7 linked regions of the Sus scrofa genome follow. The protein of the gene in region 5 interacts with the protein of the main gene of each other region in a pairwise test. Links are inferred from orthologs where the notes say so. Each region holds a gene or a part of one and is shown on either strand. Other genes may lie near its edges.

Evidence for each region.
Region 1: the proteins of TK1 (region 5) and CCDC90B interact in a two-hybrid assay, tested with the Homo sapiens proteins (2 studies listed by BioGRID and IntAct). The link is inferred for Sus scrofa from reciprocal best matches to the Homo sapiens genes TK1 and CCDC90B.
Region 2: the proteins of TK1 (region 5) and transducin-like enhancer protein 1 interact in a two-hybrid assay, tested with the Homo sapiens proteins (2 studies listed by BioGRID and IntAct). The link is inferred for Sus scrofa from reciprocal best matches to the Homo sapiens genes TK1 and TLE1.
Region 3: the proteins of TK1 (region 5) and GDF9 interact in a two-hybrid assay, tested with the Homo sapiens proteins (2 studies listed by BioGRID and IntAct). The link is inferred for Sus scrofa from reciprocal best matches to the Homo sapiens genes TK1 and GDF9.
Region 4: the proteins of TK1 (region 5) and COPS6 interact in a two-hybrid assay, tested with the Homo sapiens proteins (2 studies listed by BioGRID and IntAct). The link is inferred for Sus scrofa from reciprocal best matches to the Homo sapiens genes TK1 and COPS6.
Region 6: the proteins of TK1 (region 5) and CRMP1 interact in a two-hybrid assay, tested with the Homo sapiens proteins (2 studies listed by BioGRID and IntAct). The link is inferred for Sus scrofa from reciprocal best matches to the Homo sapiens genes TK1 and CRMP1.
Region 7: the proteins of TK1 (region 5) and PTPRK interact in a two-hybrid assay, tested with the Homo sapiens proteins (2 studies listed by BioGRID and IntAct). The link is inferred for Sus scrofa from reciprocal best matches to the Homo sapiens genes TK1 and PTPRK.

Annotation. Positions count from the first base shown.
Region 1 is NC_010451.4:17,423,610-17,427,109, forward strand, and holds part of CCDC90B (coiled-coil domain-containing protein 90B, mitochondrial), read right to left. Parts: intron 951-3,500; coding exon 849-950; intron 1-848.
Region 2 is NC_010443.5:234,367,817-234,371,910, forward strand, and holds the start of transducin-like enhancer protein 1, read right to left. Parts: upstream 2,801-4,094; 5' UTR 1,502-2,800; coding exon 1,478-1,501; intron 714-1,477; coding exon 613-713; intron 545-612; exon of another isoform or gene 178-544; coding exon of another isoform or gene 170-177; intron 1-169. UniProt on the Homo sapiens protein: Transcriptional corepressor that binds to a number of transcription factors. Inhibits NF-kappa-B-regulated gene expression. Inhibits the transcriptional activation mediated by FOXA2, and by CTNNB1 and TCF family members in Wnt signaling.
Region 3 is NC_010444.4:135,181,652-135,185,755, forward strand, and holds the start of GDF9 (growth/differentiation factor 9 precursor), read right to left. Parts: upstream 2,801-4,104; coding exon 2,404-2,800; intron 781-2,403; coding exon 1-780. UniProt on the Homo sapiens protein: Required for ovarian folliculogenesis. Promotes primordial follicle development. Stimulates granulosa cell proliferation. Promotes cell transition from G0/G1 to S and G2/M phases, through an increase of CCND1 and CCNE1 expression, and RB1 phosphorylation.
Region 4 is NC_010445.4:8,001,353-8,005,501, reverse strand, and holds the start of COPS6 (COP9 signalosome complex subunit 6), read right to left. Parts: upstream 2,801-4,149; 5' UTR 2,762-2,800; coding exon 2,698-2,761; intron 2,486-2,697; coding exon 2,360-2,485; intron 2,150-2,359; coding exon 2,018-2,149; intron 1,402-2,017; coding exon 1,313-1,401; intron 1,216-1,312; coding exon 1,153-1,215; intron 844-1,152; coding exon 796-843; intron 720-795; coding exon 605-719; intron 517-604; coding exon 424-516; intron 327-423; coding exon 226-326; intron 119-225; coding exon 1-118. UniProt on the Homo sapiens protein: Component of the COP9 signalosome complex (CSN), a complex involved in various cellular and developmental processes.
Region 5 is NC_010454.4:3,792,161-3,795,324, forward strand, and holds the end of TK1 (thymidine kinase, cytosolic), read left to right. Parts: intron 1-1,425; coding exon 1,426-1,515; intron 1,516-1,722; coding exon 1,723-1,842; intron 1,843-1,934; coding exon 1,935-2,111; 3' UTR 2,112-2,664; downstream 2,665-3,164. UniProt on the Homo sapiens protein: Cell-cycle-regulated enzyme of importance in nucleotide metabolism. Catalyzes the first enzymatic step in the salvage pathway converting thymidine into thymidine monophosphate.
Region 6 is NC_010450.4:4,789,675-4,793,174, forward strand, and holds part of CRMP1 (dihydropyrimidinase-related protein 1), read left to right. Parts: intron 1-684; coding exon 685-841; intron 842-3,500.
Region 7 is NC_010443.5:35,249,372-35,252,871, reverse strand, and holds part of PTPRK (receptor-type tyrosine-protein phosphatase kappa), read right to left. Parts: intron 2,468-3,500; coding exon 2,336-2,467; intron 2,195-2,335; coding exon 2,069-2,194; intron 1-2,068. UniProt on the Homo sapiens protein: Regulation of processes involving cell contact and adhesion such as growth control, tumor invasion, and metastasis. Negative regulator of EGFR signaling pathway. Forms complexes with beta-catenin and gamma-catenin/plakoglobin.

The sequences.
Region 1 (3,500 bases), on a different chromosome or scaffold from region 5:
AATACATTTATATTTTAATACGTGGTTCCCCCTTTATCCATGGGGGATATGTTCCAAGACTCCCAGTGGATGTCTAAAACCTCGAATAGTCAGTCCTGACCTTATATGTGTATAGTTTTTCCTTATATATTAATCAGTGGGATGCATGCACAGTATAGATACACTGGAAAAAGAGATGATTCATATCCTGGGGGGATGGTAAAAGATTTCATCATGCTATTCAGAACAGTGTGCAATTTAAGATTTTCAGACTTCAGTTGATCACAGGTACTAAAACCGTAGCAAGTAAAAAAGCAGTAAGGGGGGAACCTACTGTATTCTACTTGAAAAAAAATAATTGATATTCTAAATTTTAAAATATTTAAGCTAGTTTATAACAAAGTTCTGACTGAATTACAGGAATATTTTTCTCTTAAGTAACAGAAATAATTATTACATCATCCAAACAAGGGCCACACCCACAGCATATGGAAGTTCCCAGGCTAGGAGTGGGATCCGAGCTGTGTCTGTGACCTAACCACAGCTCAATCCCCGACCCACTGAGCAGAGGCCAGGGAACGAACCCGCATCCTCATGGATTCTAGTCAGATTCATTTCCTCTGTGCCACAAAGGGAACTCCCAACAACTAGAAATTTTATAAAATACAACTCTTATTCTTCAGTATTCAAGAAACTATGATATATACATAAGAAAGATTAGGTATGGCTAAACATGTATATTTTTATCTAAAAGCTTGTAAATCATTACTTATTAACCACATTAAGTAATTCTTTGAGTCCTATGATTCACTAAGTATAACACTTGTGAAATCAGTTGTTTTATTAATAATAATTTGAGACTTGATTACCTGGTTCTCTGCTCGTAGATTTGCAAATTCACTTTTTTCTAGGATGACCATGTCTTTTCTGATGGAGTCCAAATGAGCCATTAGTTGTTGTACTGTTATTTCCTAGAATGCAAAATTAAAATTACCTACTGATCTAGGTAAGGCTATGCCCTTACATGGAATTGTTCATGCAACTTTAAAAGAATTTTTTATCTTGCTACAAAGCATAATGAATGTTTCTTGGCTAAAAAAAAAACCCATAAAAATATATGAAACCTATATTTCTGAAATATCAAAATGAAAAGTAAATGCAGCAGGAGATTCAAGGAAGAAAATGTTATCTCCCACTGAGGAAAAACAAATATCCAGGTCTTTTCAATGAAAGAGTCCCAATAAAATGCAGTTTACACTTGTCTCTAATAGTTCTTCAACAAATAATTTTATTTATTTATTTTAAAACTATCTACATGAGAAAGCTTTTAACTGTTCATTGCTTTGAAGGATCTTCTACCATCAGAAATTAATAGGATATTGAATGAGACTTGGAAGTCAGGCAGTATAAGACAAAATAGGTTGAAGTATGGCTTAAATAAGTACCACTTGTCAGTATAAAAATTAGTTTTGTTTAAATTTCTGAATATCCTTCCTATATTTGGCACCTCAAAGAGTCTATGAAAGAAAAAGTAGCCCCATCTGATAGATTTATAAATTTTGGCTTCTTTAGGGAGGGACATTTTGGTAGAAATGATTTAAAACAGCCTCACAGGAGTTCCCGTCATGGCTCATCGGAAACGAATCTGACTAGCATCCATGAGGATGCAGGTTTGATTTCCTGGCTTTGCTCAGTAGGTTAAGGACCTGGTGTTGCCATGAGCCGTGGTTTAGGTCTCAGAAGCAGCTCGGATCTGGCATTGCTGTGGCTGTGGCATAGGCTGGCAGCTATAGCTCCAATCAACCCCTAGCCTGGGAACTTACATGTGCTGCAGATGTGGCCCTAAAAAAAAAAAAAAAAAAAAAAAAAAAACGAGCAGCCTTACAATGAAAATAAAACCACTAAATTCAAAATCATGTAGCTTATTGACTCATCTTTTATCCCTCATTATCAAAAGAAAAAGCAGATGAACGTATAACCTTGAAAAAGGGTTTACAAACAAACAAAAAAAACCCACAAACAAGAACAGTATCACTAGTGGAATAAAAAACCCCAAAGTGGAGTTCCCCAATGTAGCCCAGCGGAAACGAATCCGACTAGTATCCATGAGAATGTGGGTTCGATCTCTGGCCTCAATCTGTAGGTGGGAGATACAGTGTTGCTGTGGCAGTGGTATAGGCCAGCAACTATAGCTCCAACTTGACCCCTAGCCTGGGAACTTCTATAAGCTGCAGGCTGGGCCCTAAAAAGCAAACAAACAAAATCCTTAAAGTTTAGTAGTAGTATTCCTACATCCAATCCTACATTTTAAATGTAAGATTAAATGGTCTTGGCAGCATTAAAAATTTGTTTTAATTCATTGCTATTATACTTAAAAATCTGATTTCAGAGTAAATAACTATTAAAAGTAGTTCAAGGAGTTCTCTTGTGGCACAGAGGGTTAAGGATCCTGTACTGTCACTGTAGCAGCTTAGGTTCCTGGTGTGACATGGGATTGGGGCAAAAAAAAGTAACTCCACTAGCTCTTTCAGGGTATCACAGAGGTTTGGGGAATTAAATGAGTGGCCTTTTCTTTAGTAGATGTAGTAGTCTGTTATGATTCTGAATAAATTTATCTAAAATAATGCACAAATTTGAGTTAAATCTAACGGCTCAATGCTATTAATTCTAAATATATAACTAATTGGAGGTTATAGTAAAAATCTTTATAAAGCTTTTGCTCTTTCACGACCTTTAAAGTAATAAAATTTTATGCAAGAAACAATGTAACATAATTTTATGTAAGAAAGAAACCCATTTTTCTCTGCTATGAAATATTTATTTGGGGAAGAAACCCTGAATTTGAAAAATTAAAATTAAAAATATAACCATAGAAAACATATTCTTAAACACACTGAATTCATGACTAACAGATTATGAATTATTATTCCACAGTTAGGCTTATTTTATTCTGGCCTTTATATAAAATTGCTTTTTGTCCATAGCATAATGATAACTCTTGCAAATTACTCAACAACTCCGGTCCTCTCTTTCACGGCAAAATAGAATAATTAGTTGGTATTAAATAAGAAAATACATGATAAGAGCTCAGTACTGTGTCTTTCACTGCTTAAGTTTTAGTGAATGGTATTATCTGATGTTTAAAGATTTGAGTTACTGGTCAAATTAGAGCATCTTAGGTGATTTAGGAAGTCTCTCCAAGTCATGTAAATCCTTTCCAGCTTTCCAGTTTATGAAAATTAACCAAACACACATGATTGTAGTAAGGTAGTCAGCCCTTCTACTATGGTGGGCTTTCTATGGGGAAAAAGTTGTCTCACTAACAACCTATCACTATCAGCTGTCAGTCAAATAATGTAATTATACAATGAAAGATGTGACAAAACTGCATTCTCTGTGCTACCATAGTTTTGTGATAACTCTTCACACAATTCACCTCCTCAATCTCTCTGGATACTGACTTCAATAAAGGTTGTTTCTGTTTTTGGTCCCTTTCGAGAGAGTAAGAAGACACAGGTGTG
Region 2 (4,094 bases), on a different chromosome or scaffold from region 5:
TGAAGCAGGTCTCTTCATTAGATAAAGAGACTAAAGCTGAGATGGACATAAATGGGACTCAAATCCCTTGTGCTACCCAATGCAACCCACAATGAGGCCAAAGCAGGTGAGCTTTACCCTACACATATCCACACCCTCACTAATGATAGGAACAGCTAAAAGCAGCTACCTTTCCATAACGGACTTTGTCTCAAAGAACCCAATTCTAGTATGGCAAACAGCGATTTCAACACCGGCTCTGCCTCCCTGAACCTGCACTCCAGAGCTGGGGCATCGATTGAACCAAGATTTCAGCTCAGCCTGTTGCAAAATAAATAAATGAAGTGCAAATATTGACAGTTCTCATGCAACTCCTAAATACACGAAAAAAGGCTCCCTGGAACAGCAGCAAACGGGCAAAAGGGAAACAATGGGAGGAGGAGGAGACAAGAGAAGAGGCGGCCCAGGAACAGCCAGGAAAGTGGGTAATGTGAATGACAGGTCTTAACTGCGACTCCACACGCCACCGCCTGGACGCAAGTACTAAGTACAGCCACCGCCGACACTGGGATGGGCGACCAGGGGCAGGGCGCTGCCGGGGCGACCACTCACCGGGCACGGACGGACACGCACCTGTGATACTGAGCCTGCAGGAACTGAAACTCCTCTTTAATCCGGTCCAGGGACTCCGGGATAGTGAACTTGAAGGGCTGGCCTGCAGCCTGGTGCGGCGTCTAGAGACGACCAGGGGGACCGAGGGACCGGGGATGCGGGCGGAGGGATAAAGAAGTAAGTCAGAGGACGAAAGAGTGGGTGGGACATAAACAAAAAATGAAGTTAGAAGTGGAAGAAACCGGAGCTACGGACTCGAGTTTGCCCTTCACTATGGGCAGGGGGAAGGTGGACCTCCCCAGATCCGATGCTTCTAAAATGGCTTGGAGCCTCTTCTAGCCTCCAGGACGAATCGCGTTAAGTGCGAAAGGGTCACCTGGTTGAAGGGATAGGGGCTCCCTGGCGGGCGGCCGAGAACTGGGCCAGACTGTCGCTGTCGCCGCCGGCCCCTCCTTCACGGGGGCGATAATGACCCCAGGGACCAGAGAAGAGAAACAACTCTTCCCGTTCCCAGAGCCGCCGGGGCCACCTCCAGCATTGCTGGAAAGGGGGCCGCATTGACATGTAAATAGGCAAGACGAGAAACAAAGGTGGGGGCGCCCTACTCGCCTCTGGGAAGGGGGAGGATGTGTCTGCTGGAAAGAAACCCCAGTCTCTCCGGGCGCCCCCACCCGCCCAGTCTAGACCTCAAGTAGGAGGGGGCACAGAGCAAACGGGGAAATTTAGAGTTTCAGCCCACTCCCCAACCCAGGAGAGGAGGGCCCTCGACCTCCCAAGCCAGGGGTTCGGCCAGAATGCAGCACCCACCCATCTCCTTACCACACAGCAAGAGCGCCTACCACCCCTCACCCCCTGTCCCCCACTCAGCCAGCCAGCCGCGCCTCACCGGGTGCCGGCTCTGTGGGAACATCGCTCTGGCGGCGGCCGCGGCTCCGTTCCCGGGCAACTCAATTCTCCGCTCAATTTCCAACTTTAATCCCGCCGAGGAAAATTAAGCTGAGAAGCCGGGCAGTAGCGGGAAGTGCGGGGGGCGCGCTGGCCACGCACGCAGGCGCGCTCCGCTGGGCGCAGAGGCCACTCGGCGCCCAGCAGCTCCTGTTCCCGCCGGTGCGGGCTCCCACCTTCAGGGCCACATCACAGGGCACCCCGGGCCCCGCTGCACCTAGAACCTGCGGGGCGCCGCCGGCGCCCGGGGCCGCACTCCAAATCGCGAGCCTGGGCCGCCGGGACGAGGAGGTGGGGGCGCGGTGACTCGCTGCGCTCCCCTCAGCGATCCGCGTGTGCCGCACCCGTCCCGGGCAAACAAATCCAGGCGGGTTGCTCTCCACCGTTCTTCTCCCGGTCCGCCTCCTAGCCGGGTTTTCCCCGCGGCGCCAGCAGCCGGGGAGGTGCAGGTGGCAAGCGCCCCCGCTAACCCCACAAAACAAATGTGACGACGTTCACAGCCGACCCCTGCAGGTCCGGGAGGCGCCCAAGACCGGGCGCTCGCAGGGTCCCTGGAGGCGGCGAGGGGCGAGGTCCGGGCCCCGGGGGAGGCTCCGTGTCCGGCGCTCCGCAGGCTTAACCCGAGCGGAGGAGCGCGGGATGACGACGAGGTGGGCAAAGTGTGGAGGGCGCGCCGGGAGGCGTCTCGGCACGCCCCGTGCGGGCCGCTCTTGCTGTTTTCCGCGGTTGTACAAACCCTCTTGGCCCGACGGGACTACTCGGCGGAGAGTAGTCCCGCAGCCTTCCGCTGCTCCTCGACCCCTGGGCGCATCCGAGCAACACGGCCCGTGCACACTCGCCGCACACGGCCCGCCCGGCCACTCCGGACCCCTTCTTCCGATCCTCTCCGTCAGCCCTCTTTCTTTCCTTCTCTTCGTCTACCTCTCCGCAAAGGGCGCTCCAGCCCGCTCCAAAGTTCTCTCACGACCCGGGGAACGACATCCACTCGATGGTAGGGAAAAGCGCAAGAGTGCGCTCCGACGCTTGGCCTCCTTCCCCAGCAGGCAAACTCCGTGGGCGAGTCCGGAGTAATCGCCAAGGGCCAGCGAAGGTCCGGGCTGGTGGCGAGGGAGCCGCCCGGCCGTGCGAGGGTGGGGGTAGCGCAGTCGGCTGCCTCAGGGACGCGGGGCAGAGGGTGCCCGCCGCCGCTGCTGCTGCTCCTGCAGCCGCCGCCGCCACCGCCGCCGCCGCCGCCGCCGCCCGCGCCTCTCGCGCCGGTTACATTAACACGCGGTTTCACACTCCGGAGCTAACCAGCGCCGGCCCCGCCCAGCCCTGCGCGGGCGGGGGCGAGAGCGAGGAGCTGGCGGGGTACGTGGGCCCGGCGAGTGGAGAGGGGGGAGCGGGAAGGCCCGTGTCAGCCAATCGCATGCGCCAGACCCAACGTGGGGTGGTGACGCGACACCTCCCCAGAGCCTATGGCAGCGCGGCACCGGACGGGCTGTCTCCCCTTCTCCCTCCTTTCTCTCCCGCCCCGCTTGCTTCCCTCTCCGCCGTCTCCCCCGTCTCTCCTCCCATCCACCCCCACCTCCCCTCCGCCAGCCGCGTCCTCCCGGGCTCGGCGAGGAACTGTTCCTGAAGGAGCCGCGGGACGCCGAAACCAGCCAATGGAAAGCGGCGAGACGCGAAGATTGGCACCGGGGATGGGAAGGTCGGAGAGAAGGAGAGCGGCGGGGCCGGGCTGTCAGTCAAAGTAACGTGGGGCAAGCAAGGGAACGCGCGGGAGCGCGCAAGCGGGAGGGACAGGCCAACGTGCAGCGGTCGAAGCTGGGGGCTCGAATTTGCAAAAATGCTGCCCACTTGTCACTTTTCCCTTTAATGAAAATCTTTAGATCTCAGTGAAACTCAGAGACTAACCCCGTAGGTTCTTATGAGGGAGAAGGGGTGCTTTTTGGTAGTTCGAGCCAAAGGAATCTTTCGGTGCTTGTCCCCTGTTTGATGCTACTATTGAAAGTGAGGTCACATTCAAAAATTTCTCTGAGGATTGTTTTTCCTCGAGCTGCCTTTTGGCGGATGCAGGAGAAGTGGACTGTGCACTTGGTGGAAAATGCGTACATGAGCAACTCATTGGCTGGCGTACATACAGCAGCCGCCTAAGACTAGGCTTTTAATGCCCACGCCCCCTTTGCACCCAAGGTGGTAGGAGTTGGTTTTTATTAGAAAATTTCAAACCACCTTGCAAAAAGATCGGGCTGCCTTGATTTGGCGGGAAGGAACCCAGGGTAAGGCACGCGCGTCGTAGTCTCAGATGCGATATTTTGCCCGCGGCGCGAAATTTCGGTTCTTCTGTTAAAAGTCCAGATTTCGCTGTGTTGGGAGATAGAGAGCTGCTCAGACTTCTAGGGGCTTCTCAGCAACATGACCACGAGTCTGTTTCCAATTAGTAGAAACAAAGAGAGAGAGTGTGTGGGATAAACAGCATCTAGACCTGAAAAACCTGTCCTGCCCACCCCACCTCCATAGTTCGGATGGTACCCCCACCCCCGCCCCTCTGGCCGGCTGAGCTGTGTAAGGCATTG
Region 3 (4,104 bases), on a different chromosome or scaffold from region 5:
GCACCATGGTGTGAACCGGAGAGCCATACCGGTGCCCGACCGCCCGGGGACAGTCCCCTTTACAGTAGCGAGGGTTGTATTTGTGTGGGGCCACAATCCAGTTGTCCCACTTCAGCTGACTGAAGCTCAGTCTAAAGTCGTGGAGTTCACACTCGTTTTGGGGAAAAAGAAACTGTTTGAAGTATTCACTCAGATTGAATGAAGCTGGAACCAGAGGCTTCTTCAATTCAGAGCTTACAGTGTCCTGAGCTCTCCGGTGACGAGAGGATGGTACACCCTCAGACAGCCCTCTTTTCTGGTCAGGACCCTGGGAAGGCCTCCTTTTCCAGGGGAGGGAATACCACCTGTGATAGGCCTGTGTGCTTGTGTCGTTCAGATATAAAAGCAGTGAGGGGGCTGCCAGAAGAGTCATGTTACATGGACTTTCCTGTGCTGAAAGATGCTGGAGCTGGTCTTTCACACACGTAAAGTCGATGGACATGTGAATCTCTCTCTTGTTGGAGACCACTAGGGGCTGAAGGATGGCCGTCACATCAATCTCAATCCATTTATGTTTCTTTTGAAATGTGAATGGTGAGTTCAAGGTAAATGAGTATGGAGCTTTAGGCAGAGTCTTGTTAGAAAGCTCTGGTTCTTTTACCACCAGGCTGCACTCACATTTAACAGGGGAGGGAAAAGAAATGGAGTTGTTCCACGTGTATAACAAGACTGACTTGAGTAAATGTTCAACAGCAGTAACACGATCCAGGTTAAACCGCAGGTCCCCTGATGGAAGGGTTCCTGAGAAGAAAAAAGAGAATCCACCGGTAATGCTGGAGACAAATCAAACAAAATCAAAAGTCAAACCAAGGAATTAGTTCCTCAGACTGTGCTTTCGTGAACCCTTTCTTTTCCCACTTCCTCAGGCCTCAAAAGTGGGGGTGGGATGGAGGTTAAGAAAACGCAGGAAATTAGTACTGTAATTAAGTCCTAGCACTTACAGCTGGATACTTTATCACCAGAAATTCACAACAGCTTGGGTGGTGGTGAATTAAAACAGGAAATTGTTACGCTCTGAAGTTTCAGAATCTTAATAATTTGCTCCAAACATAGAGAAGGCTGAAACAAACAAAAACAAAACAAAACAAAAAACCCAGCATTTTTCTCCTGGAGAGTCTTTAAAAAAAACTATAATAAAGACGCCAGGCTTGTGGAGATCCCGTCATGGCTCAGTGGTTAACGAATCCAACTGGGAACCAAGAGGTAGCGGGTTCGATCCCTGGCCTTGCTCAGTGGGTTAAGGATCCAGTGCTGCCACGAGCTGTGGTGTAGGTCGCAGACGCAGCTCGGATCCGGTGTTGCTGTGGCTCTGGCGTAGGCTTTTGGCTACAGCTCCGATTCGACCCCTAGCCTGGGAACCTCCATATGCTGCGGAGTGGCCCTAGAAAAAGCAAAGAGACAAAACAAACACCAGACTTGTTAAGAAAACACTCTTAAGTCCTTACAACTGAATCAAAGAAGACTTAATTGTCTAAGTTGATTTAGAACACTTGAGATTGACAACAAATGGAGATTCTAAACCTACTATAACAATACAGGACTTTAAGGAAGGGGGATTTTAAATAGCTACATACGAACGGCTGGGTTACAAGGGTTTTCAGTTTCGGGTTAGTGAATATAGTTTTTTTTTCCTTTTAATAGCGCTGCTCCCTTCTCACACTCACGTAAGATCACTGATGAACACTTTGTTCTTCTAAGGATCGACTGTTCCACATGGGGACTTAAGCTTTCTCCTCACAGAAAGCAACAAACATGAGGAAAATATCCAATTTAATAAAGCAGACCAACAGCTGAGATTTTAGGCACATTTCCATGCCAGCATTTGGTAGAATAGGAAAAATAAGCAAATGGAAATCAAAATACCTCATTTCCAGTCTTGACTTGTGATCCTGGACAACACGCTCACCTCTGTCAGCACTTTCCCCAGCCTTTAGAGCCACTAAGTCTTTTTTTTTCTTTTATCAAGGCCACAGCGGCATATTGAAGTTCCCAAGCTAGGGGTAGAACTGGAGCTGCGTCTGTGACCTACAGTTCCGCAGCTCACAGTAATGCCGGATCCTTAACCCACTGAGTGGGGCCAGGGTTCGAACCCATATCCTCAGATACTAGATGGGTTCCTTACTGCCAAGCCACAACAGGAACTCCAAGTCTCTTCTAGCTCTAAAATTGCATCATATTAGCCCACCTTAACTCACGGGAGCATTGGGCAAAAACAACAAGATCAAGTACCGCATTTGCTTGTATTTGGATATTGAGTATCACAAAGTACAACACAAGTCAAGGAGCAAGGCCCAGCTTCTTTCAGCAATTGAAATGCAGACCCTTTGTCTCCCTCCACCCATTAAGCCATATACTCCTACACACCTGTCACCTGGTCCCCAGGAGCCTGCTTATGCTGGGCACAGGGTGTGAAGAGCCGGACAGTGTTGTAGAGGTGACTTCTGTTGGCTTTGGGGATCCCCTCCTTGGTAGCATATGTTTTATACAGCCTCTTCATGTAGCGCAAAGCTCTGGAGTCTGGCTGCAGCCTGGGCAACCCCCCATGCCCATCATACAGAACATTGAAGAGGGGGGAAGGGAGGCCAGATCTGTGTCTCTCATCTGGAGGCCGCAGCAAGGACCAAGGCTCAGCCTCAGATTCCAACACAGCACTAGTTGCAAAGTGAGCTTCTCTTCTAGAAGCCTGAGAACCACAGCTAACAGGAAAACAGAACAAGGCAAAGCAGCAAAAACAAAGGAAGAATTTTCTGGGAAGCGCCATAGTTTGGAAGAACTAGCAGGGAACACATTTCCCCATACCAGTCTTCTTAAAAACCAGGAAGAGCAAAGGTTGGTTTCTTAAATAAATTTTAGGTGTGTGGGTGGGCTAGGTTCATTTCTGTAATCAGACCTCAAGGATGCCTAGCTGAAGATAATTTTTATCAGCTGTGTGTCGGCTATAACACCCTATTTATTCAATTTGTCCTAATTAGATACAGATTTACTTGGTTATTCAGCTTCGGTCTCCCTTTTCCCCTGAGATTTACTTAAACATCTCAAGTTGCTATACTAATCGACTAGCTGTGCAGCTGAAAGGCTAAGAGGAATTAAGGAATGACCTTAAAAACACCAATTTTTTTGTGAGAGATTAGGATTCTTAAAACGTTTCTTAGGTGCTTGCTGAAATTCCCATGACATGCGGAAAAGCTAATTTATTATTCATGATGATACGCAGATCTGTTGGTATGCAATTTATGGTATTAGGTTTACTCCTTTCATTCTCACCACCTCTCCGCTTCCAGGTGCTTAGAATAATTATTTACTGCAAGTTACTTCGGAGGGTGAAAGTCACAACTGGCACTGAAATTCCAGAGAGCAGAGAACTGTTAAGTTCCCTAGTTCTGAAAAGGAGCTTAGGAAGGATGTATAATTGGAAGACTGCAACATGCTTTAAAAAGTAGGACGTCACCTTTGATCCTGACATTTTAAAATGTAGTATCTTGATGTCTTTACTTTCCACATTTATCTATACATACTTTTAGTTGAAAGGTTTAGATATTTTCAGGTGCTGGAAAATCAAAGTTTTATTTTTCATCGATCGTCCAGAAGGTGGGAGAATTTTCTAGGGTATTTGTGTTTTCATCTGTTTCAAGTATGTTCTTGCCTCTGGTCTGAGATTAGGTTAGAGATAATGTTTTAGAGAAAGAAGACAAGGCTGCACCTTAAATAGCTGAGTACACTCAAGGTACAAGATAAAGAAGCCGTCTATTCAGTACCTAGGCTGATAAAACCGAGGTATATCTGTAAATTTTAGGTTTATCGCCTGTTCAGCCTCCCTGGCCCTTGGTTAGGAAGGGTTATAAAACACAACCAAACTGCTGAAAACGAGCTTGGTCTTAAATGACATATGACCAGCAATTCCGTGTACGGAACATTCACAGATACGCTGCATCAAATGAAAAAGTCAGTCAGCTGTACAGGGCGGCAGTAGCCGCCTTAAGTAGAAAGCATTTTCCAAACAAAAACAAAAACAAAAAACGGCATCACCTGCAACATTCCTGCCTCCCTTCCTTGGAAATGGAATGA
Region 4 (4,149 bases), on a different chromosome or scaffold from region 5:
GCCTGCCGATGCCTTGTCGGTCATAGAGGACGTTGAACTTGTTCACGAACTGGTTCATGGTATTGCACGTTTTGGTGATGGTGCCTAGGTAGGCCATGAGTCCCACGTCATTGCATTGCTGCAAGGAAACAAAGAACCAGTTTCCCAGGGGCTCTGGCTCCAATGTCCTGCATGCAGAAATGGTGGCATGAGCCCCACCCTCCTGATCCTGGGCTTTATACTCACATCATAAAAGTCTGTCTTGAACTTATCAGTGCTGAGCACTGGGAGGCAGTGACACAGAGCATAAGCCTCCCGCAGGATCTCATGGTTAAAGGGGACCTCTCCTAAAGGCACAGCAAAGGGCTGCATTAATGTGATACTGTTGCTTCCCCAGGAAGGAGAGAAAAAGTGGTTCAAGTGTCAGGGGGACACCTGTCCTACCTGCTTCAGAGGCCTTGACATACTCCAAGATGAGCTTGACGCGGCTGTGCAGCATCTTGATGGCGCTGTGCTGCGCAATCAGGTGTTCCGCCACTACACAGGGTCAGGCCAAGGCTGAGAAGGCATGGGGCCAACACGTCCCACCCCCCGCTGCGAAGGAAACCCCTCCAGCCTGCATTACCAGTGGAGTTCTCTCCGCTGCCTGTTGCTGTCATTCGGGCCACATGATCTACACCAATGCGTTCAGCCTCCTCTGTGGCCAGGGTATAGGTCAGCTCAGCAAAAAGCATCGTGGCCTACAGGGCACAGAGAGAGAGTCAAAAGCAGGAAACACCGGGAGCAGGGTCTGAGAGTTGAAGGGTATGGCATTACCTCTCCATTGATGATATCTATAACAGACTCAAAGACGCTGACCGGAAGCTGTAAAGAGGAGATGGGCGAAGAGCTCTTAGTAACAGCACACGTACCTGAAGGGCCCCAAACCAGGCTTGGCCCTTTCGCATTCCGTTTTTCTATGTCCCCAAGTTACAAGTAGGAATTATCCCATTTTAGTACATGGGGGAAATGCAGTTTAGAGGTTAAATGACACCCAAAGTCTCAGCTGGTAAAGAGAAGGGAGAGTCAATTCAACAGAGGCGATACAGTAAAAAACAGGATGAGAATTAAAATCTGGGTAGGCATAGCAATGGACAAGCAGGACAAAGTAGCCACGGGCTCAGTATTACTCACATCTGTGTGCTTAGTCATAGGGTTCAACTTAAGAAACAAAGGGCTCTCAATTATCTCGCACACCTGGAAGAGGGGGCAGATGCACCTGAGTGCCAGGGCCCATTTTTCTCCCGCTCATCCTCTGTCCTCCGCCCCAACGTGCAAACGGAAGTGTGTATACCTGCTTATGGACGTGGATATCAGAGGGGTCAGGCGGTCCCCCTGTGGTATACCAACCCAGAAACTCCAGCTCCTTGAACACCTGTTTAACTGAGGAGGAAAGGGCCAGAGCACAGAGTATTTTTTTTTTTTTTTTAAATATCGCTTCTTTAATTTGAAGCTCCTGGTGGATTTTAACCAGCTTCTCCCCATCCCATCCCGGCTCAGTTTAGAGTAAGTCATCTCTTCTATCTTCTCCTTACTTTGTGGGAAGTAACCAAATATGTTCTTTTTTTTTTTTTTTTTTGGTCTTTTTTCCATTTCTAGGGCCGCTCCCGCAGCACATGGAGGTTCCCAGGCTAGGGGTCCAATTGGAGCTGTGTCCGTCGGCCTACACCACAGCCACAGCAATGCAGGATCCGAGCTGCACCTGCGACCTACACCACTGTTCATGGCAACACTGGATCCTTAACCCATTGAACAAGGCCAGGGATCGAACCCGCAACCTCATGGTTCCTAGTCGGATTCGTTAACCACTGAGCCACGACGGGAACTCCCAAATATGTTCTTTTTTAAAGATCTCTACAGCTACCTTCTCGTCACTTGGCCTCCATTCTGCTCATCTCCTGTTTATTTTTTTCCCCCCAACCCTCTCCACCTTCCCTATTCTGATTTTCTTTCTTTTTTTAACTCCCACTCCTCTCCCCCACCTCTATTCCCCTCTCACACTGCTCCTCCTTGGTGTAATAATATTCCTTGTCAATGATAATCTTCTCTTCCACGGTGTGGGACAGCAGCTCAAAGGAGTTCATCACCTCGATATTTCGGCCCTCCTGCTTCCCGATCAGAGCCCCAATCACTGGAGGAGAGGACACAAGAGGTGAGGGTAAAGAATCCTGAAACTTAGTTAAATCAGTATAGCCTGAGGGTCTGAGGTCAAGTGAACCCAGTACTAGGGAAACGGGTGGTTTGCGGCGGAAGAATTGGCTTCAGCAAAGGAAAGGGAAGGACCACCGTTTGGGGGAGATGACCAGGAAAAGAAGGCCAGAGAATTACGCCGAACACTCACCCTGCATAGGCCGCCCCTCCTGGGAGCGCATGCGAATCCAATGGTCTGAGATGTTGAGAATGACGAGGGGGTGAAGGGCGACTGAAACACTGCCAGTCACTCCGGAGGCCATCACGCTGGGGACGACTAAGCAGTTGGAAGAGAGGGTGAGAGTCCGGGTCCCACGTTCCCCCCGGGAGATGGGAGGGGAAGCCAGCAGAGCCGGGCCATACATCCCTCCCGCAAGTTATCCCAGGGAACGCGCCGCTGACCCGCCCTCCCGACTTCCCCGGGAGTCCAGGAAGGCCTTGACGCGCCCCAAGGGCGTCTCCAGAAGCCGCTCCCTCCCGGTCGGTTACCTGCTGCATCCACCTCCATCCCGCTGCTCCCTCCGGTCCCGTTCGCCGCAGCCGCCGCCGCCATTTCCCCCGCGCCCGCCAGTGTCGGCCCCGCCCCCTCCCTGCCGGCTTCCGTAGGCAGCAGCGCATGCTCAGTGCGGCCGTGGCGCGCGCCTGCCCAGACCCGCGCAGGCAGCCCTGGGTCGGGGAGAGCCGGCAGGTCTTAGTAGCCCTCTCGCCTGCCTCTGACCTTGAACAACTTACTTAACCGCACCCTGATCGTCCTAAAGTATACTGGGATTAGACTGCCTACTTTGTAAGGCTGCTGCAGCATGAATGAAACTTCATGTTGTTGCCCTCAGAGTAAAAGCCACACTCCTAACCACCTGCAAGACCCTGTAAGATCAGACCCCTGCCCGCCAGCCAGCCCTGGCCTCTGCTTTTCTGCCCTTTGATCGCCGTGCTTCAGCCACATTGGCTCTCGTGTCTGTTCCTTGCACACGTCTCACTCATCCCCACCGAAGGGCGTTCTGTCGCCTTTATCACTGTAACACGTGATCAAAACTACCTGACATATGGGCACCTAAATGATTTCTTTTTCGGGCCGCATTCACAGCATGCAGGAGTACTCGCACCAGGGACGGAACTCACGCCACAGCTGTAATCAGAGCCACAAAAGTTCAAATCCCGCTGAGCCACAGGGGAACTCCATAAATGATTTTTGAGTGAATGAATGGTTTGCCAGTGGAGCCTGGTCCTGAGTGCCTTGGTCTACACATCCTTTCTTTCCTCCTTCCACCTCATTACCTACAGCACTGAGAACATCCCTGGCATTTTCTAACCCCTCCCAACTTCCCTCTACCCTCCGTCTCCGTTAGTCTTTCAAAACTCACTTCTGGGAGTTCCCGTTGTGGTCAGCAGGTTAAGAACCCAACTAGTATCAATGAGGATGTGGGTTCGATACCTGGACTTGCTCAGTGGGTTAAGGATACAACGTTGCCACAAGCTGCAACAGAGGTCACGGATTGGGCTCAGATCTGACATTGGCTGTGGCATAGGCCAGCAGCTGCAGCTCGGATTCGACCCCTTGCTTGGGAACTTCCATATGCCAAGGGTGCGGCCCTAAAAAGAAAAAACAAAAAACCACCTCCGGCAAACCTAGCCCACTCCAGCCCTCTCCCCACCCCTACACCCGAGCAAGTTGTGTACACTGCCTTTACCCTGTCTTGTCGCCCCTACAATTTGGCTGGTTCTTTAGGTGTGTCTGTAACACACCCAAGTGTTAGCTCCTAAAAAGCAGGTAGAGACCTGTACCTTTACCTGCGGAGCCTACTCTGCTGCCCAGAGATGTTTTCTGGTGATAATAGTGACTGGTGCGAATTAAGCTATCTCTCCATTTAAGAGCCTGCATAAAGGGAAATTAAACGACCAGCAACTCTCAAAGTAAAGGCCTGAGAAATCCTGCAGGGAGGG
Region 5 (3,164 bases):
GCAAAGACCCTCTCCAAATAAGGTCGCACTCGGGTGCTGGGGATTAGGGTTTCAACATGGATTTGAGGTGTGAGAGGGACACAACTCAACCCAAAATGTAACCTAAAAATGAATGGCAATAAAATCCAACGCCAGCAACATGGTTACCCGTGGGCATCTTGAGATTTTGCAGAAAACCCAGGCAGCTCTGTCCTTACCTTCGATCACCCAGGAACCCCTGCTGGGGGCCCAGGGTCGGTGTTGGGGAGGGGGGCGTGTGAACAGGGGACAAAGTCCGGGTGGAAGAGCTGAGTGCTCTGACCACAGGTGAAGCCAAGGACCCTCCGAGGTCCCCAGACCCTGGTGTGGAAGGACCTGCCTCTTGACGAGGCCTCAGCAGGGAGGGGGAGTGCAGGGGATTCGTTCCTCTCCCACCCCCGCCGCAGTGGGTATCTGGCAATGTCTGGAAACAGTTTTGTGACAGCTGGTCGGGGGGCACTTACTGACAGCTCCTTGTAGGTGGGGGCTGCATTTCTGTGACCCGAGTCCTTCAGAGAAAAAGAACCGCCTGGGGCAGGGTCAGCTGGAGCCTCTGGGTGGGGGCGGCCGTTCCAGAGCTCAGGCCCCTCCAGCCCTGCCAGGGGGCGGTCAGCTCTGGCTTCAGTGGATCCCGCTGCATAGAGGGGTTTCTAACGCCTCTCCTGGTCCTGTCTTGGTAACTTCTCGAACATCCGGCTGAGTGAGGCCTGGGTGGCTTGGAGAAAGACCCTCTAGGCAAGAATAATCCCCACTTCACCCAACCCACAGGTCCGTCTCGACAGATGATGACCAGTGAAAATCCACCAAAGGGTTTTAAGCAGCCTCACCCTGGGCCACTTGAAATGAAATTTGAGTCACCAACTAAGCGGCCTGCTGCAGACCCTGCATTTAGAAGGGTGTGCCGGGACCGTGGAACTGCCACCCCTTCTCAAGGCATCGCATGGCACATTGTTTTTTGTTGGGTTTTAAGTGGCAGGCACACAGCCTACCTCTCAGCCAAAGAGAATAAATTATTTGAGGGTCTTTAATCCTTAACCCCCCCCAAAGCCCTCCCTGTCTTTTCCAGGCTCGGGAATCTGAAGTCATTGCCCAGGTCACAGCTAACGGGTGACCATGGTTCAAGCCCAAGGCAGCCTCTGGTCCAAGCTGTTGACACTGCAGTGGCAGACCGCCTTTCTAGCCGGGCTGCGTCACCCTGGTGACAGGTCCGGGTTCTTGACCTGGAGGGGGGCCTGGGTCTGCTGGGGACATGCAGCTGTGCGCCGGGCAAGGGGCTGGGGCTGCCCAGGTCTCGCGCTCCCCGCCGACTGGGTGCCCGGAGCTGTCGGGTCCGGCAGCACCTTCTCTGTGGCTCCCGGAAGCTGCTGCCCAGGCGGGAGCTGTCCTCACCCCCTCTCCCGCCCCCAGTTCCCTGACATCGTGGAGTTCAGCGAGACCATGGCCAACGAAGGCAAGACCGTGATTGTGGCCGCCTTGGACGGGACCTTCCAGAGGAAGGTAAGGCGTCCGGGCCTGGGACCCGGGAGGCGGGGGGCCGGGGCCGTGCAGAGACGGGCTCCTGGGGCCGCGGACCGGGTCCGCCGGCTGCAGGCGCCGGGCTCTGGGGAAGGCCAGGGCAGGGCCTCGGTCCCTGGCTTCCGTGCTGGGAGGCAGCCTTTCCGGGAAAGGGCGAGCTGAGAGCGCCCGTCTCTGGTGGGACCGCAGGCTTTCGGGAGCATCTTGAACCTGGTGCCCCTGGCCGAGAGCGTGGTGAAGCTGACGGCCGTGTGCATGGAGTGCTTCCGGGAGGCCGCCTACACCAAGAGGCTGGGCGTGGAGAAAGAGGTAGCTGCCCTGCCTTCTCCCGGGGGCGCGGGCGGGCGGGGCGGGGGCCGCCGCGCCCCCCTCAGTCCAGGCACCTGGTGTCCCGTGTCCAGGTCGAGGTGATCGGAGGAGCGGACAAGTACCACTCCGTGTGCCGCCTCTGCTACTTCAAGAAGACAGGGCTGCCCATCGGGCTGGACAGCAAGGAGAACAGAGAGAACGGCCTGGCGCTGGGCGTCAGGAGGCTGTTCGGCCCCCATCAGCTCCTGCAGTGCAGCCAGGCCAACTGAGGCGCCGGCCCGCCGCTGAGCCCCGGAGGCCGCCTGCGCCCCAGGAGGAAGCGGGGGCGGTTGTCCAGCACCAGGAGCTGCCCGCCCTTCCGGCCGAGGCCGGCGGTCTGCTCGGCACACTTCCCTCCTGGGCCGCCCGCTGGCCTCTCTCAGTTCCCGTCCCCGCTGCTGGGCCGCTGCTCACAGGCCGCCCCAGGCCGGAGCTGGCAGCTCCGTGGCGAGGGGTCTGGCCCCGGCAGACGTCCCCTCCGCTCCCCCGGGGTGAGGCTGGAGCCACAGCCGCTGACAGGGGTGCTGCTGGCCTCTTCCCCCTTTGTGGCTTTGGCTGCCGAGTTTCTGTTCTTGCTGGGAAGCCCGAGCCCCCACCTCTGGCTGGCACCGAGCCTCTCGCGCACACAGACTGAGCCCCTCTGAGGACAGCCAGACTGGGGCACTCTCACTTCCCTGTGGCCTGCAAGCCCTTCCGGGGCTCAGCTCCCAGGGCTCCTCTTTTAGGGAAGGGCTGTGGCCTTCTGTCAAGTTCTCTGCCATGAATAACCACCTGGAAAAGTTACTGTGTGGTGAGAGCACATTCTCAAACCGCCTGGGGCTTCCCGGGCCTCGCCGCGGAGAGCGCTGACGTGATTCGGGTGCGGGGATTTCTCTCCAGTTCTTTTTCTAGTTCCGCTGTCTCTTCGCCGCAACCGGTTTTGGCTGAGAGACGGCCATGAGGCGTGTCCAGAGAAGCTTTCCTGGCTCTTCTGTCTGGTTGGGCATCCAGACAAGAAGGGTAGATGGAGCCCGGGGCCCAGGCTGGAAAGATGAGGCTTTGGTCCGTGCTGCCAGCTCGTGCTGCGAGGCCAGAGTTTGTGAACAGACACTTGACAGTCCAGGAGCCAAGAAGCCCAGCTCTGCTGTGCCTCGGAAAACCGGGCTGTGGGCGGCTTGTGTGGAGGCGAGGCTGCACCGCAGGGGGTGCCAGGCTCCCCATCCTCCCGGCTGCTCCCTCCCCCTTGGCTCTGCTTGGTCCCAGGTTCCAGAGGTGCAGTGCAAGGGTCAGACTGATTCCCAAAC
Region 6 (3,500 bases), on a different chromosome or scaffold from region 5:
CAGGCCGCTGGAGCCCAGAGCCTGCCTCCACTTGCCAGCAGGGTGGCCTCGGGTAGATGCCACCAGCTGTCCGCCCATGTCCCTTTGGCACTTTCTCTGCTGCAGAGATTCTCACTGGAAAACCTGAGAGGGCCTATGGGCTTTTTGTTCTGGAAGAAACCCAGAAGCTGGACTTTCTGGAAAGTGCGTGTTCTAGAAGCAGCCCTCCAGCAGGGGGGTGGCGGCTGCACACCCAGGCCCCTTGCCCCCGGGGGTGGACGGCTGTGAGGCTCCTGGGGTCCCCAGTGCTCTGAGCCGCAGGCACCCAGGCAGCTGTCCTGGTCTTCTCTCTCCGCCGTATGTCACGTTCTCAGACCCCACGGAGCTGTTTTCTGGGGTCGCCTCCCAAATCAGGCTCTTGGACTTGGTTTTTCATTTGAAGATTGACTTTGGGCAGAACCAAGACAGCGCCACTGACCATCTGTAAAGGAGAGAATAGGCAAACTGAACACTGAAAGTGGTCAGAGTCCAGAAGGTGGCTGAGGGGGACAGCGGGGTGCCGAGCGCCTCGTGGGTGGCGGGGCCCTGGGCCTTGAGCGGTGGAGCCTGGGAAGGACAGGTGATGTGTTGCCGGGCCAATCTTGCTTTCGTGTGCCAACATTTGCCACCAGACAGTCTCAGCTGTGCTTGTGTTTGCCTCCCAAGGCCCCCTCGTCTTTGGTGAGCCCATCGCTGCCAGCCTGGGGTCGGACGGCACCCATTACTGGAGCAAGAACTGGGCCAAGGCGGCAGCCTTCGTGACCTCCCCTCCCCTGAGCCCGGACCCCACCACGCCCGACTACTTGACCTCCCTGCTGGCCTGGTGAGAGCCTGGGGTGGGGGTGGGGGCTGGGCGGGGGTGGGGTGAGAGCCGGGTCGGGGGGGCCCTTTGGGATGAGGGTTGAAGGGCTCATTCTGACACACTTGTGGTGGTGCCCTTGGGCTGGGTGCCCCGGGAGAAATGGTTACAGCAGACCCTTTGGGGGCCTGAGGGTCTCTTTCATTTTTTTTTTTTTTAATTATTTATTTATTCATTGGGTTGTTTTAGTGCCATACCTGTGGCACATGGAGGTTCCCAGGCTAGGGGTCGAATCAAAGCTGCAGTTGCCGGCTTACACTACAGCCACAGCCACACCAGATTCTTAACCCACTGAGTGAGGCCAGTGATTGAACTCAAGTCTCATGGATACCAGTCGGGTTCATTACCACTGAGCCACAGCGGGAACTCCTGAGGGTCTGTGTCATTCAGTAACTTCCATCCACATTTACGGGTTACCTCCTGGGTGTTCAGTGATATTTAAGCCCCTTCTGTGCCCCTAGCGCTGTGGTTTATTGGGAAATGCCCAGAATTAGGGGTGTGAGGGCAGCCTCCTGCCTCAACCACTAACTGTGTGTCACCCCGGCCCTGTCACGTAATCGGTAAGGTCTGTGCCTCGGTTGGCTCATCTGCAGAGTGGGGAGAACATCGTACCTACCTCAGAACTGGGTGGGCGTCAGTGTGGGGAGAAGGCCTGGACTTCCAGGCTCACAGTGGCACTGCGTTTAGCTTCGCTTCCTGCGCACAGTAGGAGCACAGCTGCTTTCATCCTTCTCTATCTGCCAGCCTGAGGGAGGAACACTCCAGGCGCAGCAGGCTGAGTGGTGACGTGTGCAGTCTGCTCTGGGGGTGGAAGTGCATGCTCGGGAGGCTTCACGGAGGAGGTGACATCTAAAACCTCAGTCGGACCAGGGGCCTCCAGCATCCTCTCCCCTCAAAGGGAAACACAGGTCCCCACCCTGATGGTCGAGGCGGACCCTGATCTGGCCTCACTTCCCTCTCCTCCTGCCTCAGCTCCCTCGGTCCAGCCCACTGGTCTGCCACCTGCACCGCAGGCAGGATGGTGCCCCAGGACCTTTGCACTCACTGTGCCCCTGCCTAGTGCTCTTGCCTTAGTCATCCTGTGGTTTCCTCTTCACCATCTTTAGACCTTTGCTGGAAGATTTCTTCTCAGTGAGAGATTTTTGATCTTAAATTGGCAGCCCCACCCCACCCTAACCCCCCTCCCCCGACCGACCATCCGTTCCTGGTTCCCCGGCACTAGAACGCCAGCCGATAAACAGAGGACTTGGGCTCTGCTCACAGCTGCCTCCCCACTGCCTCAGCCACGCCATTGACACAGGACGTGTGCCGCACACTTCTGGTGAATAAAGAGTGAATGTCGCATCTAGATATATTTTTGGACATTTCGATGGTTGCTGATGCACCCCGGGCTCCACATGGAGGCCAGCCTCTGCCCTCCCTGAAAATCCCAAAATAACACTCCGATCAGGCCATCGATTCAGATGCCGGTTCAGGGCTCATCATCCAGCCCCAGAAAATGTCCTCTCCACAGCCCGAGGGACACAACTGCAAAGCTCGTGCACTTGGGTCACATTGCCACGAGCAACGAAGAGCACTTGGTCCTGCGGGCACAGCCCGAGACACCCGCCAGCCTTATGCCCACAGCCTCACTTACCAAAGGAAGACCAGTGTCTGCACTTCCTCTTTCCCCGTGTGACCTGGCACATCAGTCCAGGGGTGTCACCTTCCTTCTGGCACAAACATCCCCGACTTTGTGAGACACCCAGGCCCCTGCTGGAGGCTGCATGTCTTACTCACTTATTTATATATTCACTCATCCATTCGTCTAGGCATCCACGGGCTGTACTCAGGGTTTTCCTTCTTCCTGCTTTTTTAAACTTTGTGATAAAACTCACATAACATTCACCATGTACTCAATTTTTTAAAATTATTTTATTGATGTGTAGTTGGTGTAGAGTGTTGTGGGAATTTCTGCTGCATAGGAAAGTGACTCAGACACACACACACTTTTTTTCTGCTGCACAGGAAAGTGCTTCAGATACACACACACACACACACACACACACACACACACACACTTTTTCATACTCTTCTCCATCATGGTCCAGCAACGGACGTGGAAGGCAGTTCCCTGTGCGGCTCGGGAGAACCTCGTTGTGTGCTTATTTGATACATAGTAGTTTGTATCCGCTAATCCCAGCCTCCTAATTTATCCTCCCCCGTTTCCCTTTGGTAACCATAAATTTATTTTCTATGTCTGAGAATCTATTTCATTCTTTCTTTCTTTCTTTTTTTTTTTTTTTTTGGTCTTTTTGCCATTTCTCGGGCTGCTACCCTGGCACATGGAGGTTCCCAGGCAAGGGATCCAATTGGAGCTGTAACCACCGGCCTACCCCAGAGCCACAGCAACGCGGGATCCAAGCCGCGTCTGTGACCTACATCACAGCTCACGGCAATGCCGGATCCTTAACCCACTGAGTGATGCATGCATCGAACCCGCAACCTCGTGGTTCCTAGTCGGATTCGTTAACCACTGAGCCACGACGGGAACTCCATGAGAATCTATTTCTTAAATAAGTTCATTTGTATCATTGACTTAGATTCCACATATAAGCGGTACCATATATTTGTCTTTGTCTGG
Region 7 (3,500 bases), on a different chromosome or scaffold from region 5:
GAGCCATGATGGGAACTTTACACATACTCTACTCTCCCCTTTGCCATCAACATTTCCCTCTTGCTTGCCTTTCTCAGTCCCAAACAGAGTGACCAACCTGTCTTGGGTTTGCCTTGGACTTTTATGGTCTTTTTACTGGAAATCATTAAAAAGTTATTAAAAGTTTTGTTTTCCCTGATAAAATATAAGTTCTTTAGGTATAAGAAAACCTCTTTTCCCCCTAAAATCTCTATCACTAGAACCTAGCAAAATACTTTCCACAGAATAGTATTGTTAAATAATTTAATCAATACCTTAAACCCTCAAATGAAAAGGTAATAAGGAATTTGTAATGGACAAGTAAGCCATACTTAAGGCATCATCTGAGGCTTCACATGGCAAGGACTCATGCATCTTTTGGTACAACAAGGGACTACCTAGAATAATACCCAACCTCCAGTTGGTACAAACTAAATATCTGGTAAGGTGAATACTATTAAATAATGATAGTGGGAAAAGAAAGAAAAGTCATGCACTAAAAAGCCTCAGAATACCAAGTATAGAGGAAGATAAACAAATGTGCTGACCAAAAAATGTAACACAAATTTCATTTCCTATTCCTAGAATATTTTTCATATAAACAGCTCAGTTAACAGACAAATCTCACTTTCTTAGTTTAGCAGTTATGGTTTCTCAGCTAAAATATTACTAGAACTATCATGTAACAGATGTGCAGACATAATGAGATTCCTTTAAATTAGCATCTAAGATATTCATGACTATTATGACATGATTGAAGTTATCCTTTTTATTTTTCCACTGAAATGAGCAACAGAATTGGATAAGACTTAATTCTCTACTTATATACATAGAGACTTATTAACCAGAAATACCGTATTTTGATGTGAGAAACACTGAAACGTGGCAATGCTCATCACACACTTAAAATAATGCACATACATAGAATTGCTGCTCTAAAAAAAGGAAATCTTTCTCTTTAAGAAGAGCATAATTCTGTGGAAGTTACTAATGTTTTCGAATTTTGCTTGCTATGTGGTTATATGATCTAAACAGTTTTTATTAGTACTTTTATTTTTTTGAAGGCGAGGCCCCACACAATTTGTCACTGATCACAGAACACAATTTGTCACTGATTGCCAAACACATGAAAAGTTAAGGAAAGAAAGACTCCTTGGGATCAAGTTGCTACTTTGCCAATGGTTCCCAGTAGTAGCAGCACTGGATCTAGCTATAGATCTGGGAAAAGCCAGATGCTGAGACATTTACAAAGATGAAATTGTTGACAGGTTATAGGAGGAGAATCAGTGAAGGGCTCTCTCTTCTAAGCAGAACTTGGAATAGTGACATGGGACCCTTCTATAATGGCTAATCCGACATAGCCCTTCCTCCTGAGGTAAAACTTCTTCTCTGTCACCATTACTAGAGTCTTACTTTTCAATTGCATGCCTCTACTGGGCTGGACATCAATGCTAGTGAAACATACAGTCAACCCTGAGATAAGTCTACGTACACTCAGGGGCCAGGCTCAAGCAATCAAACTCAACTGAACCAGGGTATCTGAATTTAGATTTCCAGATGGAACACATTAGTCTATTACTGACCAGGAACTCCAGCCTCTGGCCTTTTTGCTTTCCTATTTTCAGGATGTGTTTTTACTCTAGTACTAAGGCATTAGGCAATTACTAGCTTTGGAATTGATAATATAATGCCTTTAATTTTATTCTTTCTTTTGTCCGAATGGAATTATACCCCATCACGTTTATGATCATCTGTTCTGGATCATCTCAATTAAAATAATTAATGAGGAGTTCCCATTGTGGTACAAGAGAAATGAATTTGACTAGTATTCTTGAGGATGTGGGTTTGATCCCTGGTCTCGCTCAGTGGTCTGGGGATCTGGCGTTGCCATGAGCTATGGTGTAGGACACAGATACAGCTCAGATGCCATGTTGCTGTGGCTGTGGCACAACTCTGATTTGACCCCTAGCTTGGGAGCTTCTATATGCCACAAGTGTGGCCCTAAAAAGCCAAAAAAAAAGAAAGAAAAAGAAAATGATTAATGACTTACTCTTGTTAGATTGCATATTCTAAAAATCCGGTTTATCACATCACAGTCCATTGAACAAGACATACATTCCACTTGGATAGGGCCATATCTTAGCATCCCTTCTTCTGGCCAGTACTGAGGGCAGCCCTAGATGATGAATGTTTGAAAGAAAAGGAAAACGAGCATTATTTTTTTCTAATTATGGTAAGACTAAAGCAGATTTTAGCATTTTATTACTACTTCTTTAAGTCGTGTTAAAGTACATAAAAGCAACCTATAACCATTAACCTGGGACAAGTCGACTTCATTTAACATCACAATGGAGGTACAGCCATAATCATACACTAATCTCCAGAAGTCTTTCACAGTGTTTGGCAGAGGGTATTGTGTGACGATGAAAGCAGCTGGTTGCCTGTAGCTCTGTGAAAAAACAAGGTAGATGGAGAAACATAAGAACTTAAAAGAAAAATTAGTTTTACAAGCAGATTCAATATAGGTAATATAGGACAAGTAAGACACAACAGCTTCATATGGAGATGGAGCCAGACTGTTGCTTAAGCCATGAAATAACAGATTTGGACCAATGTAAGGTCCTGCAACTAGTTATTAGTCAACCTTAGAGTATAATTTTGATGCCTGAGTAGTAATTCAAGCCAAGAATTTGCTTTATGTTGTTGATAAAAGTAATATAGGACAGATAGCCCAAAAAAAGGTAAGAAAGAACTTCTTGAGGTTAAGATCCTCCATGAGCTACCTGTTGGGTTGTTTCAATTTTCCAAAAATAATCAGTAGGAGAGGCTAAAGGCATAAAATTCCCAGGTGTGCATGTGTATCTCTATCTATCTATCCATCCATCCATCCATCACCTTATCAGCTATTATATGACTGGCTCTCCTCCACTCCAAATAAGAAAAACCATATGTGCCTCAAACTTATATGCTTTTATATTATATTGACATTATAAACACATGCTGTACATCTTGCAAGCAATCCATTTCCCATAGTTTTCTGGGCATTTCTAATGTATATGAGTTATCAGAATGATAGTTTTAATCATTTAAGATTTTTCAAGTGCCAAAGAGTAAAATCAATGCATTCTATGGCTCCACCTAAGAGGAAATGGCTCCTTGTTTTTACTAAATGCCCCTTGATTGGGACAGAACACATTATCCCTTTCCAGAAGAAGAGAATATGCCCATCTGGCTGGGCTATCTGTTATTCTACAGACTAATGATCTATACCAAAAAAGAAATATATATTTCCATGTAGTAAACTAATTATTTGTAAAACTATAAATAGACAGTTGCCTGAGATGGATTTCTTTAGCGCTGATAAAAAGTTGTCAGTGATCTCCTAACTCATTTGTATGATATTACTCTTGAAGTTCCTTCAGGTGTCTTAACAGCAGTATAAAAATTGATCTTTGAACTTCATAGGCCCTATCACCATTTGG